Sus scrofa: one gene and its partner. The protein of the gene in region 2 interacts with the protein of the main gene of each other region in a biochemical or structural test. Links are inferred from orthologs where the notes say so. Each region holds a gene or a part of one and is shown on either strand. Other genes may lie near its edges.

Region 1 (6,422 bases), on a different chromosome or scaffold from region 2:
TTATCTGTCACAAATCAAGTAACTAGTTTTTTGGTGCCTACTGTGTACACTGCAGGACCATTCTGTATCACATCTCATTTATCTTCTTAACAATGTATTATCTCTACTTTGCAAATGCAGAAAATTTCTTAAACTTCAAAAAAAAAGAAAGAAAGAAAGGGGAAAGCACTTGGAAAAAGATAATAACAGGAAGACAGCATAGCTGCTACTACTGAATGAAATTAATTCCACCTTGGGAGGAGGGCCAGTCAATCATTCAAGACTTTTTCAGCAGATAACTCCTTAATTTTATCAGAATTAAACATCTCACTGAAGGAGCAAAAAATGGGAAGAGAATGGCTTACAGTTTACAAGGCACTTTTTTTTTTTTTTTTTTTTTGGTTTTTAGGGCAGCACTCATGGATATTCCCAGACTAGGGGTCTAATTGGAGTTACAGCTGCCAACCTACACCACAGCCACTCCAGATCCGAGCCACATCTGTGACCTACACCATAGCTCATGGCAACGTTGGATCCTTGACCTACTGAATGAGGCCAGGGATCGAACCCACAACCTCATGGTTCCTAGTCGGATTCGTTTCCACTGCACCACCACGTGAACTCCTACAAGGCACATTCTTGAACATTATTTCTTTCACTTCACCTTTCCCAAACTCAATGAGGTAGATCATTTACAAATGGACCAGAGTCAAGTAACTTGCCAAGAGTTATGTGGTAGGTGGACCAAATTCCTTGTCTCCAAACTCCACAGGCTACATGGTTGCACAAATGCAAAAAGTAAGCAGACGGGAGTTCCCCTGTGGTGCAGCTGGTTAAAAATCCGGCATGGTCACTACAACAACCTGGGTCACTGGCATGGGTTCGATCCCTGGCCCAGAAACTTCCACTTGCCAAGAGCATGGCCAATAATAAATAAGCAAGCAGGCTCTCCATCTTCAGCCTAGATCTATCCCACAACTACGAAGGGTACTGACAGGCTCTAAATTTCTCTCCATTTGCACCAGAACCTAGAACAAGTGCTTTAAAAAGAGCATCCAAATCTGCAAAAATATCTGAATACAGGGGGAAAAGTAATGGCCAAACGATCTCAAATATTAAGGTGGAATAGTCCTGTTTCTCAGTTTACTACCAAGGTGAGCAAAATCTTAAAACTTAGTAAATCCCACTTCAGCTTCCCCAACCTAATGCATTTTTGTTAAAGTTTAACAAAGCAAGGAAATTCAGACTGCTTGGTTGTTTAGTTTAAGGATAATTATTAATTGCATTTAAATAAAAATGCAACTGCAAGAATTAGTGAATGCTGAACCACTGTCTCAGAATCATAAGGTTCTAAAAGTGAACTCACCATGAGAAAATACAAAGATTTTTCTTTTTTAAGAATACTAACTGAAAGACATACTATAATTTTATTAGTGGTTATTTTCAATGGTAGGTGGGTTTCTGTGTGCTGTTAGTTTCTTTTTTGAAAATTCTCCCCAATTTTCCCACAATGAATATGTCAGATTTATAGTTATAAAAATATTATTACTTGAATTTATTTAGCATCATTAAACACAAATGGGGCCTTAACACAATTTATTTACAGCTTTAAACACAAATATCATTCTGATACCAAGTTCATGTTATGTAACCGATGCAGGATCTCAATTAGCAAAAGCAAACCTCTTCAGAATTCGGTTTGTAAATTCTATCAGTAAATTACCTTCCAGCTCTTTTATGTTTTGTATTTCCTTTTCTTTTTTGGCCACCCTGCGACATACGGAGTTCCCAAGCTAGGGGTCAGATCCAAGCTGCAGTTGCAACCTAAGCAGCAGCTCCTGCAACACCAGATCCCTAACCCGCTTGTGCCGGCAGGGGATCGGGGATTTAACCTGTGTCCCAGCGCTCTCAAGACACTGGAGAGCCCACTGTGCCAGAGCGGGAACTCCTAAGCTCCGTTATTAAACATTCTAATTATTTGAATTTTTTAACAATCCTTAAAATGTCATTAGGCGTCTGGAAACTCAAGCTCATTTTAGCTAATAGTCACCTTTGCTGACGCTGCAAAACGAACCAACTTGAGATTTTTACCTCTACTCCTCCCTAGCTTTTCTTTTAAAAAGTTGTGGGCAAATAAATTGACAGACAACCTATAGGAGTTTAGACGGCCTAGAAGTGGTATTACCATCTTCAGTGTAACATTTCTTTTCCTCTTAGGTCTTCAGAAGGTCTTGGTTCTCCTTAGGTCTTCATTCACTTAGGAAACACTGGTTTGGAGTTCCCGTCGTGGCGCAGTGGTTGACGAATCCGACTAGGAACCATGGTAGTCGGGTTCGGTCCCTGCTTTTGCTCAGTGGGTTAACGATCCGGCGTTGCCGTGAGCTGTGGTGTAGGTTGCAGACACTGCTCGGATCCCGCGTTGCTGTGGCTCTGGCGTTGACTGGTGGCTACGGGTCTCCGATTAGACCCCTAGCCTGGGAATCTCCATATGCCGCGGAAGCGGCCCAAGAAATAGCAAAAAAAAAAAAAAAAAAAAAAAAAAAGAAAGAAAGAACACTGGTTTACTGCGCACCTACCAATGGCCAGATTCTGAACACAGCTGAAAAGCAGCCTAGAGAAGTAAGGCCCTTAAAGGCCACCCTCTCAATCGCGCAAACCAGTAAACAACTACTTCCAATCCAAAGTGATAAGAGCCATCTGGAGATATGACAAACTACCAAGAGAGCACTCCAGGGGGAGAGTAATTCGGCCTCCAGAAGGGCTGCGACGCTTTGGAGGAAGGGGGAAGGATTTGAAAATGCTTTCCTGAGCTTGACTTAAAGCAGGAACCCAGCAATTTCCCCAAAGGCTGGAGCCAGAGCACTTTCTGCCTGGTCCTCCCCACCTATAAAGTGGGATAAGCAAAGCCCAGGCCTGACCGCCGTTCTGGGAACTCCTCTAAATGACCACCAGGCGCCCAGATGCGGCCGGGGCCAAGCCTCCCCTCATCTGGGGACTGGGCACCCCCTCCTCCGGGACCCCGAGCAGGCCACCACCTGTTCACTCCTTTCACCATCACCAGGTGGGGAAAGACTCCACCCAGCTCGGGGGGCGAAGCACAGGCACAGATCCGGGTGCAAAATTTGATCCCGGCCACTCCCGGTACAGACTCAGGCCGAGATTGGAGGGCCGGTAGGGCCTGCTGGAGCCGGATGGCTCCGCGGCCTCCGGCGAGCCCTGCACCCAGGGGGCGGGTCCCACGGTGGGGTCACCAGGCCAGACGCAGAAGGACGGCGTCCCGCACCCTCGGCGGGACCGACTGGTCGCCCAGCGGCGCCCTCGGTCCTCAGTGCCCACTCCTCCCGGAGGGCGGGAGGAGCGCGCGCCGGGGCAGAGGCGGCGGCTCCGGACGCGAGGAGAGCGGCCCCGGCCGGCTCGAGGGGCAGGGTCCCCGCCGCCCAGCGCGCGCCCGCCCCCCACCCCCGCCTTACCTGGTCGGGCAGAGGCGCGGGTGGGACCCCGAAGCTGGCGAGCGGGCGGCCTCGGCGTCGGCCCTCCCTCACCTGGGCGGAAGTGAGTGGCCCAGGGCGACCGCGCCTCACCTGGCAGGCCCTCCCCCTCACGCCTCCCCTCCCCTCCCCTCCCCTCCGGGGCGGGGCGCCGAGGTGGCGCGGGAGGGGCGGGCGGGGGAGCCGGGGGCCGACTCCAGGGGGGGAAGGCGGGAGCAGTGGGCTTCTCTCCTTTCCGCAGGTGAAGCTCTACTGAGTGAGAGAAAGTTAAAGAGCCTGAAAAAGGTAGGGTCTGGGGGCCGCGTGGGCAGACGAAAAGCTGAGTAGTGGAGTGAACCGGCTGGACAGGTGTTGTAAGAGGGCTGGGCGGAGAGCAAGACCCGAGATCTAGGAAATGAAAGGACATTGATCAAAGGATTAGGTCAAGTCTGCTTGCTCTTTTTGTCCCTTTCCTTCCCCGTTTTGTCACCCCTTCTTTGTGTTTTCTGTATCAGCTGACCCAACATAAAATTCTAAGAAATATAACTGGGGGGGCGGGGGTATTTTTTTCTCAGTTGAGGAAAGGCAAGAACCCAGTCTAGCAGAATTTGCCCGCGAGAGTCCAGGCGCTAGGTTATACCTTACCTCTTTTACTGGGAAGAAACTGAGCCCCTACAGGTTAAGTAATTTGTCCAAAGTTTGGGACCCTGACGGGATCGTTTGACTCTAAGTACAATGTTGACTTCATTATATGTTTTAACATCTTTATCCTTGATGTCAAAACTTGATTTTGAGAAAGACTGTAAAACCTGCAGTGGCTTTATTCCACTCTCTTTAAGTTTAGAGTTTTGACGATAGGCGTTTTATTTTGTCTGCTACAGTGTGCACATTAACGATAAACAGAATCAGTCTTCAGGTATGTATTCATTAAATAAATCCAATATTTGTAAAACACCTGTCATTGTAAAATGTTTATTATGGGGTACCTGGCCTCAGGAAGATGATATCTACAAAACAACTACAACATAAGGACATTTGTTGGAGTTCCCATTGTGCTGCAGTGGTTAACGAAGCCGACTAGGAACCGTGGGGTTGCGGGTTCGATCCTTGGCCTTGCCCATTGGGTTGGGGATCCCGCGTTGCGGTGAGCTGTGGTGTGGGTCGCAGACACGGCTTGGATCCTGCGTTACTGTGGCTCTGGCATAGGCCAGTGGCTTCAGTTCCAATTAGACCTCTAGCCTGGGAACCTTCCATATGCCGCGGGGAGTGGCCCTAGAAAAAGGCAAAAAGACAAAAAAAAAAAAAGGACATTTGTTGTAAAATCATACACTTGACACCTTATACTGTTATTTTTAGGGGGTTTGTTTTGTTTTTTTAAAGAAAATATCTCTTAGACTTGGTAAGAGATACACAATTTCAGCACGGTTTCTGCCTCTTAGGAATGAACAAACTTATTGAGGGAAATAAATTTATATAATAATTTATCAAAAAAATGAGTTCCCCTTGTGGTTCAGCTCATTAAGAATCTGACTGGGGAGTTCCCATCGTGGCGCAGTGGTTAACGAATCCGACTAGGAACCATGAGGTTTCGGGTTCAGTCCCTGCCCTTGCTCAGTGGGTTGACGATCCGGCGTTGCCGTGAGCTGTGGTGTAGGTTGCAGATGCGGCTCGGATCCCATGTTGCTGTGGCTCTGGCGTAGGCCGGTGGCTACAGCTCCGATTCGACCCCTAGCCTGGGAACCTCCATATGCCGCGGGTGCGGCCCAAAGAAATAGCAAAAAGACAAAAAAAAAAAAGAATCTGACTGGAATCCATGAAGATGCGGGTTCCATCCCTGGCCTTGCTCAGTGGGTTAAGCATCCAGCATAGCTATGCATGTAGGTCACCCATGTGGCTTGGATCCCTGTTGCTGTGGCTGTGCCGTAGGCTGGCAGCTGTAGCTCCAATTTGACCCCTCACCCAGAACATCCATATGCTGTGGGTGCAGCCCTAAAAAGAAAAAAGAAAAAAAAAAAAAATACTAAATAGAATGAAGCCCGAACTTTCAGAAAAAAAATTATGCCTGTTGAAAGCATTGGTTAGAACTTAAACAGGTCTTAAGAGGTGTTTAGGGTTTGCTTTAGAAGGGATTTATTTGGATGGGGAAATGCTCCCTAAATGGGGGGAGGAGAGGGGTAATATGCAGGTGGAGACCAGTTATCTTAAAGCATCACCTTGCAAACATTAGGACTCTTCTTTGACATTTGATGATGGTTATGAACATATTTCCCCTTTCTCAAAAAATAACTTTTAATTGTGAAACAAAGTTCAGACTTCTGTTCCTAGTATTCAAGGCCCTCTAAACTCTCCTTGCTTGTTCTTCAACCTACTCTTCCATTTCACATCTCCAAGATACTCGGGTCAAATGGTCTGGTCCATTCTCTGTCCTGGCACGAGCACACCATGACCTTTCTGTTGGTTACTCAGCCCCTTTCCCATGTTTGGAATGCCCTATGAGCCCTCCTTCCCCCAGGGCCTTAATGACCATTCCCAGAAAACATCCATTTCAATCACCTTTAATCTCATTTTCTCCATATTTTAGTGTGTTTTTTTTTTTTTCTTTTTTTTTTTTTCACGGCCACACCAGCAGCACATGGAGATTCCCAGGCTAAGTGTCTAATCAGAGCTACAGCTGCTGGCCTATGCCACAGCCACAGCAATGCCAGATCCGAGATGCATCTGCAAGCTACACCATAGCTCACAGCAACGCAGGATCCTTAACCTACTGATCAAGGCCAGGGATCGAACCAGCAACCTCATGGTTACTAGTCAGATTCATTTCCACTGAGCCACAACAGGAACTCTTAGTGTGGTCATTTTAATGTGAGCCTTCCTCTGGCTCTTAACTGGAATGTAAAGAAAGGTTTAACTTATTCCATACGTTTTTAAGGCACATACTCTGTAGTAAACATATTCTGATCACAGAGGGGCTTTTGG
Region 2 (5,627 bases):
CAGCAAATCAGCAAGACGGACTTCTCATCTCAACCCAAACAAGGTTAGAAAGAAAGAGTTCCTCTCCGAGCATGTCGATGCTACACCCACGAGTCCGGGGACCCTGGGTACTGTTCTGCTCTGTAAGAAGGTCGTTTAGTGGAATAAAAGTCTATGTAATTTGTAGTCGATTTCAGTCCATACTGTGTTGAATAATCAGTAGAGGCTGGAAAGTGAACTCGGTCATCAAAATAAGGATCTTCATAGCTATGAGGAGACTGCAAATACAATCTGTATGCATCAAAGTTCTTTCTGGTGGAGTCATCTTGACTATAATACAGCTGTTGATGCTGTTGACAAAATGAAAGAGCAAATAAATCAAGGCAATTTTTGGAAGCACATGTTTAGGGAAAAATTAATATGGGCTTCCTGCTTCATATTTTTAAAGCAGTATTTGGTATTTGTGTATTTATGGTTGAAAGTTGTTTCTGGCGCACACAGTATGTTTTCTAGTGGATATAAGGGTCTTAAACTATGTCTACAGGTGGGCTGGCAGTTTGCTCAAGTCCTATCTTATGGCCTTCAAAAGTCAGTGCCTTGGGAGAAGCTGAGACAGCCCTTGGCTACCTCTCTGTCACTAGAGTTCTGTGTTCTGCTGTGGAGGTCCTGGGCATGCCCAAGGAAAGGGTGCCCTTGATTTTTGCCTTGATACAGGAGAACCAGTGGCACATTATGAATTTAGTGAAAGGCTGGATATTTGGGCTTTGGATGGTTGTATAATTGCTGAACCATCTTTTAAAACTTTTACCTCAGAGATGAAAATCAAATCTATCCTTCTGTTTTAGAAGAAAAATGTAGTTTGGTGAAGAGCAGTTACACTTTGGAAACTGGAGTGTGCTTTTAAAGGAATAAGCAATCTCTAGGCAGGAGAGGAGTATAATTAGAAGAGATACTTGAGCAAATAAAATCCTAAAGGAAAAGACTTCTCCAAGCTGGGGCTGAGAGACAATCCATCTGTAAGGAAGCAAGGTGAAATATGTGGGCATCCACACCCTGCCCCCACTTCCTTTTGTCTGGTCTTATTGCTGACCCCACATGAATTTCTTCAAATAGGTTTGGAGAAAAACTGCAATGGTTCGAATGCCTATCTCTCCTCTTAATCAAGCCCAAGTCCCCAACTTAAAATGTAACAAATTTATCACAGAGATATCAATACCATGTTCTGGAACTATGTGCATTTCTAATATTATAAGCATATCAGAGCTAAACTTGCTTTTTTAACTTAGACTTATGATTCTGAGGCTACGTCTCCTAACTAAAAAACTACAGCAGAGATTATGACAACTGGAGAGGTTCTTCTATTTACAGAGCAAAGACGACAAAATGGAAGGAGGTTACGAGCATCCTCATCTGCAGAGCAGGATATAGGTTCATTTGGGAAGCCCCAATTGCTCATGTATTACTGGAAGGTAAGAGGAGAGAACAAATGACCTAGGTGGACATGGCATCAGGCAAGACCAAAATGAATTTTAGGCCCCCCCGACCCCGAAAGTGGAGATTGAATGTTACCACCACTAGTCCCCACTCTGGTGGACGGTGGGGTTCATCCCCACAGGCCTGAGTCTACTTTGACCTCAGAGAATACCAGAAATCTGGCTGTGGCCTCAAGTGTATTCAAACCATGGTGGCTTGGATGGGAGGGAGTCATGAAGATGGAGGAAGAGGTGTACGTGTGAAAAAGAGAAGGATGAGATGAGAGAATGAGGTGTGCTTACCAACCTTTCCCCATCCAGAGGATGGAAGAGATCTTAGAGAGTAACAAGAAGAAAAAAAAAGAAAAAAAAAAAAAAAGAGGGAAAAGAAAACTGTTGGGCAAAGAATAGGAGTGTAAGACTTCTCAGTTGGTGCCCGTCAGGGGCATGGTGGTACCAATTCAGTCCTCCTCAAGGACATGAGGCTACTGTGGAAGTGATCTGCATAAACCATGGATGAGCTTCCGAGGAGCAGAGATCCCCAGGAAAGCTCCTGGGCCCCTGCTGTGTCGGCCCAGCTCAGGTGAGTCAACCCACGCGGACCCCTTACTGTGTTCATCCCTGCTAATCGGCCTTCTGTAAAAATGACATTGCAAATTCACCTGTAGCCGTCTATTTTGTTCTCTTGCTGGTGAGGAATAGGAACTGATGTAAATTGGTGAAGGTTTGCTGGAGCCTGTAAGAAAATATTTTATGAAATTAAAACTAGTGCTCATTACTGCGGTCCATTAGGTGGTGTGGACTCCCTGACAGGCCCTGGATTCCCCCGCTGCCAGCACAGACCCGGACAGTCAGCAGCTTGGGTTCCCTGGATGAAGCCTGCCTGCTGCTTACCCCAGGGCTATTCAGTAAAGGCTGATGAATATGCCAAAAAAAAAAAAAAAAAAAAAAAAAAAAAAGAGGCTGTGTGTTTTACCAAAAAGCAATGCTAATGCATAGCTCATCCGCAAAGGGTTCCTTCTCAACCTCTGGTCACTGTGGGGAGCACTGAACTGGTGGCTCTTGACAGCAGACTTGTCCCCTGAGCCGAGGAACGTGGCTTTTCCAGGGCTCTGAGCTAGTGCACTGGGTCAGATGCGGGAGGGAAATACAGCAGAACAAGCTCCGGGCCTTTAGAACAGCTTTGATTCAGAATCCCAGGTCTGGAAGGAGCAGGCACAGGTGTGTTCCAAGCAGGGTGGCCGCATGGAGGCCATGTTTAAGTATGTTTTGAAACAAAAAGAACCTGGGTATCAGAGAGCTGTCTTTAGGAGTCTACGGCAGATTCCTGATGCTGTCACTGGTTACCCTTCTAGCATTGTTAAGGCTAGCAGAGATTTTATTTTATTTTTTAATGAGGAAAATGAAACATATTTGAGGCAAATTAGTTTATTGAAGCAAGCAAAGAAGATACAGAAGGGCGCGCATGCTAAGGAGGCGGTCTTTAAAATAAAGCAGGCTGCTGCAGACCTGAAGCACCAATGCACTTCGGTTGGTCTGTGCATTTCCTCTGCAAAGAGCTTGATGTCTGAAATGTAGCATCTGCAATTTTCTGAGCTATTAATTGCCATAGTAACAATAGTCGATTAGTAAACAGTCCTGTGAAATCACAATTTCAAAGACAACAGCACAACTGAGACTGCTCCCCCAGCAGTTGTTAAATTGCCACCAGCTTTTATTTATTTCTTTTTAATAAATAGGTTTTTTGAGAAAGGAGTTTTCTTTTTTTTTGGTAGCTCACACTGCCTTATTTGAAGCCTCTAAAGTGGTTCTAATTTGCAAGATAGTTGAGAATGGAGACAATATGAATCTTGGTAACCCTTCAGGTTGTCATTCTTTAAATAATATGCATGGCTTTCTGAATAGGACATAAAAATATTAATGCTATACAACATCACTTTTGTTATTCTTAAAAAATAGTCACTCTGAGGAGACTGTATATTTTGTTATTCATTCAAACTCTTTCCCATGAGAATGTAAATGGAATTGATCTCCATCCGCAGGTTTGAATTTATGAGCTGGTCCAGGAGATGTGGCCCTGCCAGGTGTCACAGAGCTCAGGGTTCGGGGACCCCGGAACACACAGCGCAAGACTGCTCGGGCAGGGTGGGGCAGGACAAAGGGCCAGCGCTGCTGCGTAGCCAGAAATGCTTTCTCATTTGGAGACAGTGCTCTTTTTATTTGTGGTCACCAGACCACCACCTTAGCTTATTTCAAGTAAAACAAGCAAAAAGGCAACAGCCCCTGAAGCAGAAGATGAGAGGCTGGACCAGTGTTTGCTGCTGGGGGACCATCTCATTGCAGGCAGAGGTTACCTCCCAGGCCACTGGCCGTGTGCCTGGGGACCCGCGGCTTTTCGAGATACTCTATCACACACCCAACTGGCGTCTTACCAGGGTACAGGCCTCTATGAGTGGCATCCCCTTGGCTACTGTAATACTGCATAGGTGGCTGGGTCCTATCGTATTCAGAGCGAGGGTCTCTGATTCCTAACAGTGCTGGTGAGGAAGAGGTGCTGCCGACTGAAGGGAGAGGCAAGAGGAGGGAGGGGGAGAGAGAGAGAAAGAGAGAAGAAAGAGAAATCAGACTGTCAGTGTCTCTAGAAAGTCCTCTCTGGAAAAACAAAGTAATTAGAAGTGCACGTGCCTGGCACTACAGTCAACTCTTAGAGGTGCTGTGATTAAAGGGCAGCCAGCCCCAGTTCCTGGAAGGTGACCTGCAGGTCGGCCACTGCAAGGATCAGCACTGTCAGCCACCACATTGGGCAGGGATCGTGCAATTTCTCCACTGAGATGGGGGGGGGGTGTCTCAATGACCTGCTTAAGCCTTTGAAACTGAGGGATGGTAATTCCCAGTCGTGCCCAAGTTCCATTTGCAACTTTATGATCTCAGTTCAGTTGCTTGTGTTACACCCATCTATTATCCTTTACGTATAGTTCTTCAGTAAATGGATGTTTTATGGCTTGTTTTGATTTCTGATGATTTCAAAAATATCTGCATCTCTAAATGAGTTTGAATAAGAGTGCCCAGCCCATAAATTTATAATTCTTTTTATGGCGATCAGCTGTCAGGGAAATTTATAAATTCAATAAGCCTGGTCATCAAGAAGCTCATGGTGCTAAGAAGCCTAGCCTCACAAAAGCCCAGCTTTTTTATCCCAGCTGGAGACAAACGTTTAATAATAACCTATTTACCCATGTGTCGCCTGTAGGACATTTGTGCACAGAAGGAAACACTGCACATCTTTTTTCACTAGAAAATCATCTTGCTTGTGCTGAAGTTAATTATAAATAAGGGTGATCACTGAGTCCACTGGAAAGCAGCAGCCCCCAGTCCCTGTCACCAGCATTTGCATGCATTGATGCTTTCAGAGGAAGACTGATGTCAAAATATTTCCCCAAGAAAGTCACTTCAGTAACATAGGGTGAGCGTACAAGGGTGGTGTCCACGTGCTTCCCATCCTGCTTACTTTCAGGAAGGTAGCAGGGCACAGGATATCCCCACCTGCCTCCCACAATGACATCAGCGAGGCAGTGAGATGCGCCCATAGGTGGATACCTCACTAGTGCCGAGGGACGTTTGATCAGCCCTCAGAATAACTGGAGAAACAAATGTGAATTATATCTGCCTTCCAGTGGAATCTGGAGAGCGTCCTAGGAACTTGGACAGGGCTTCCTGATAAATATAAAGGTATATTTAAGAGGTCCTCAAAACAAGTTCACTGCTTAGTAACTAAGTCCTAATTTGTCTGAAATTATTTTTTTGCCTGTCCATATGCCTTTTGTTAAGCAGCTAAATCTCTTGCTTCCGCTAGCACTTTCTTCCTAAGTCCCTAAAGAATCCTGATCATTTGTGTAAAGAAGGCAACCTCAGGCTATACCTAGGAGCCTACCAACAATGTCAGAAACCAAGCAGAGGTCTCATGATTTAAAAGCTAAGATATAAATATAAGCCATATGCAGTAGGCAAAGAAAATTTCTAAAAATTCCAACACTGTAAATCAGTTATGATGGAAAAAAAATAAAAATCATTAAAAAAAAAAAAAGATTCCTGGTACAAGTGAAGACATCCAATTATATGGCAGGAACCACCAGGCATATGTTGGTCTTTCTGGTCATATTTGTTCACATGAGAAAT

What was found.
Region 1: the proteins of PKP4 (region 2) and PATJ interact in a test that uses a peptide from one of them, tested with the Homo sapiens proteins (2 studies listed by IntAct, with this or other methods). The link is inferred for Sus scrofa from reciprocal best matches to the Homo sapiens genes PKP4 and PATJ.

The regions. Positions count from the first base shown.
Region 1 is NC_010448.4:150,601,983-150,608,404, forward strand, and holds the start of PATJ (inaD-like protein), read right to left. Parts: upstream 3,584-6,422; 5' UTR 3,450-3,583; intron 1-3,449.
Region 2 is NC_010457.5:65,674,583-65,680,209, reverse strand, and holds part of PKP4 (plakophilin-4), read right to left. Parts: intron 4,013-5,627; coding exon 3,884-4,012; intron 2,188-3,883; coding exon 2,114-2,187; intron 330-2,113; coding exon 81-329; 3' UTR 1-80. UniProt on the Homo sapiens protein: Plays a role as a regulator of Rho activity during cytokinesis. May play a role in junctional plaques.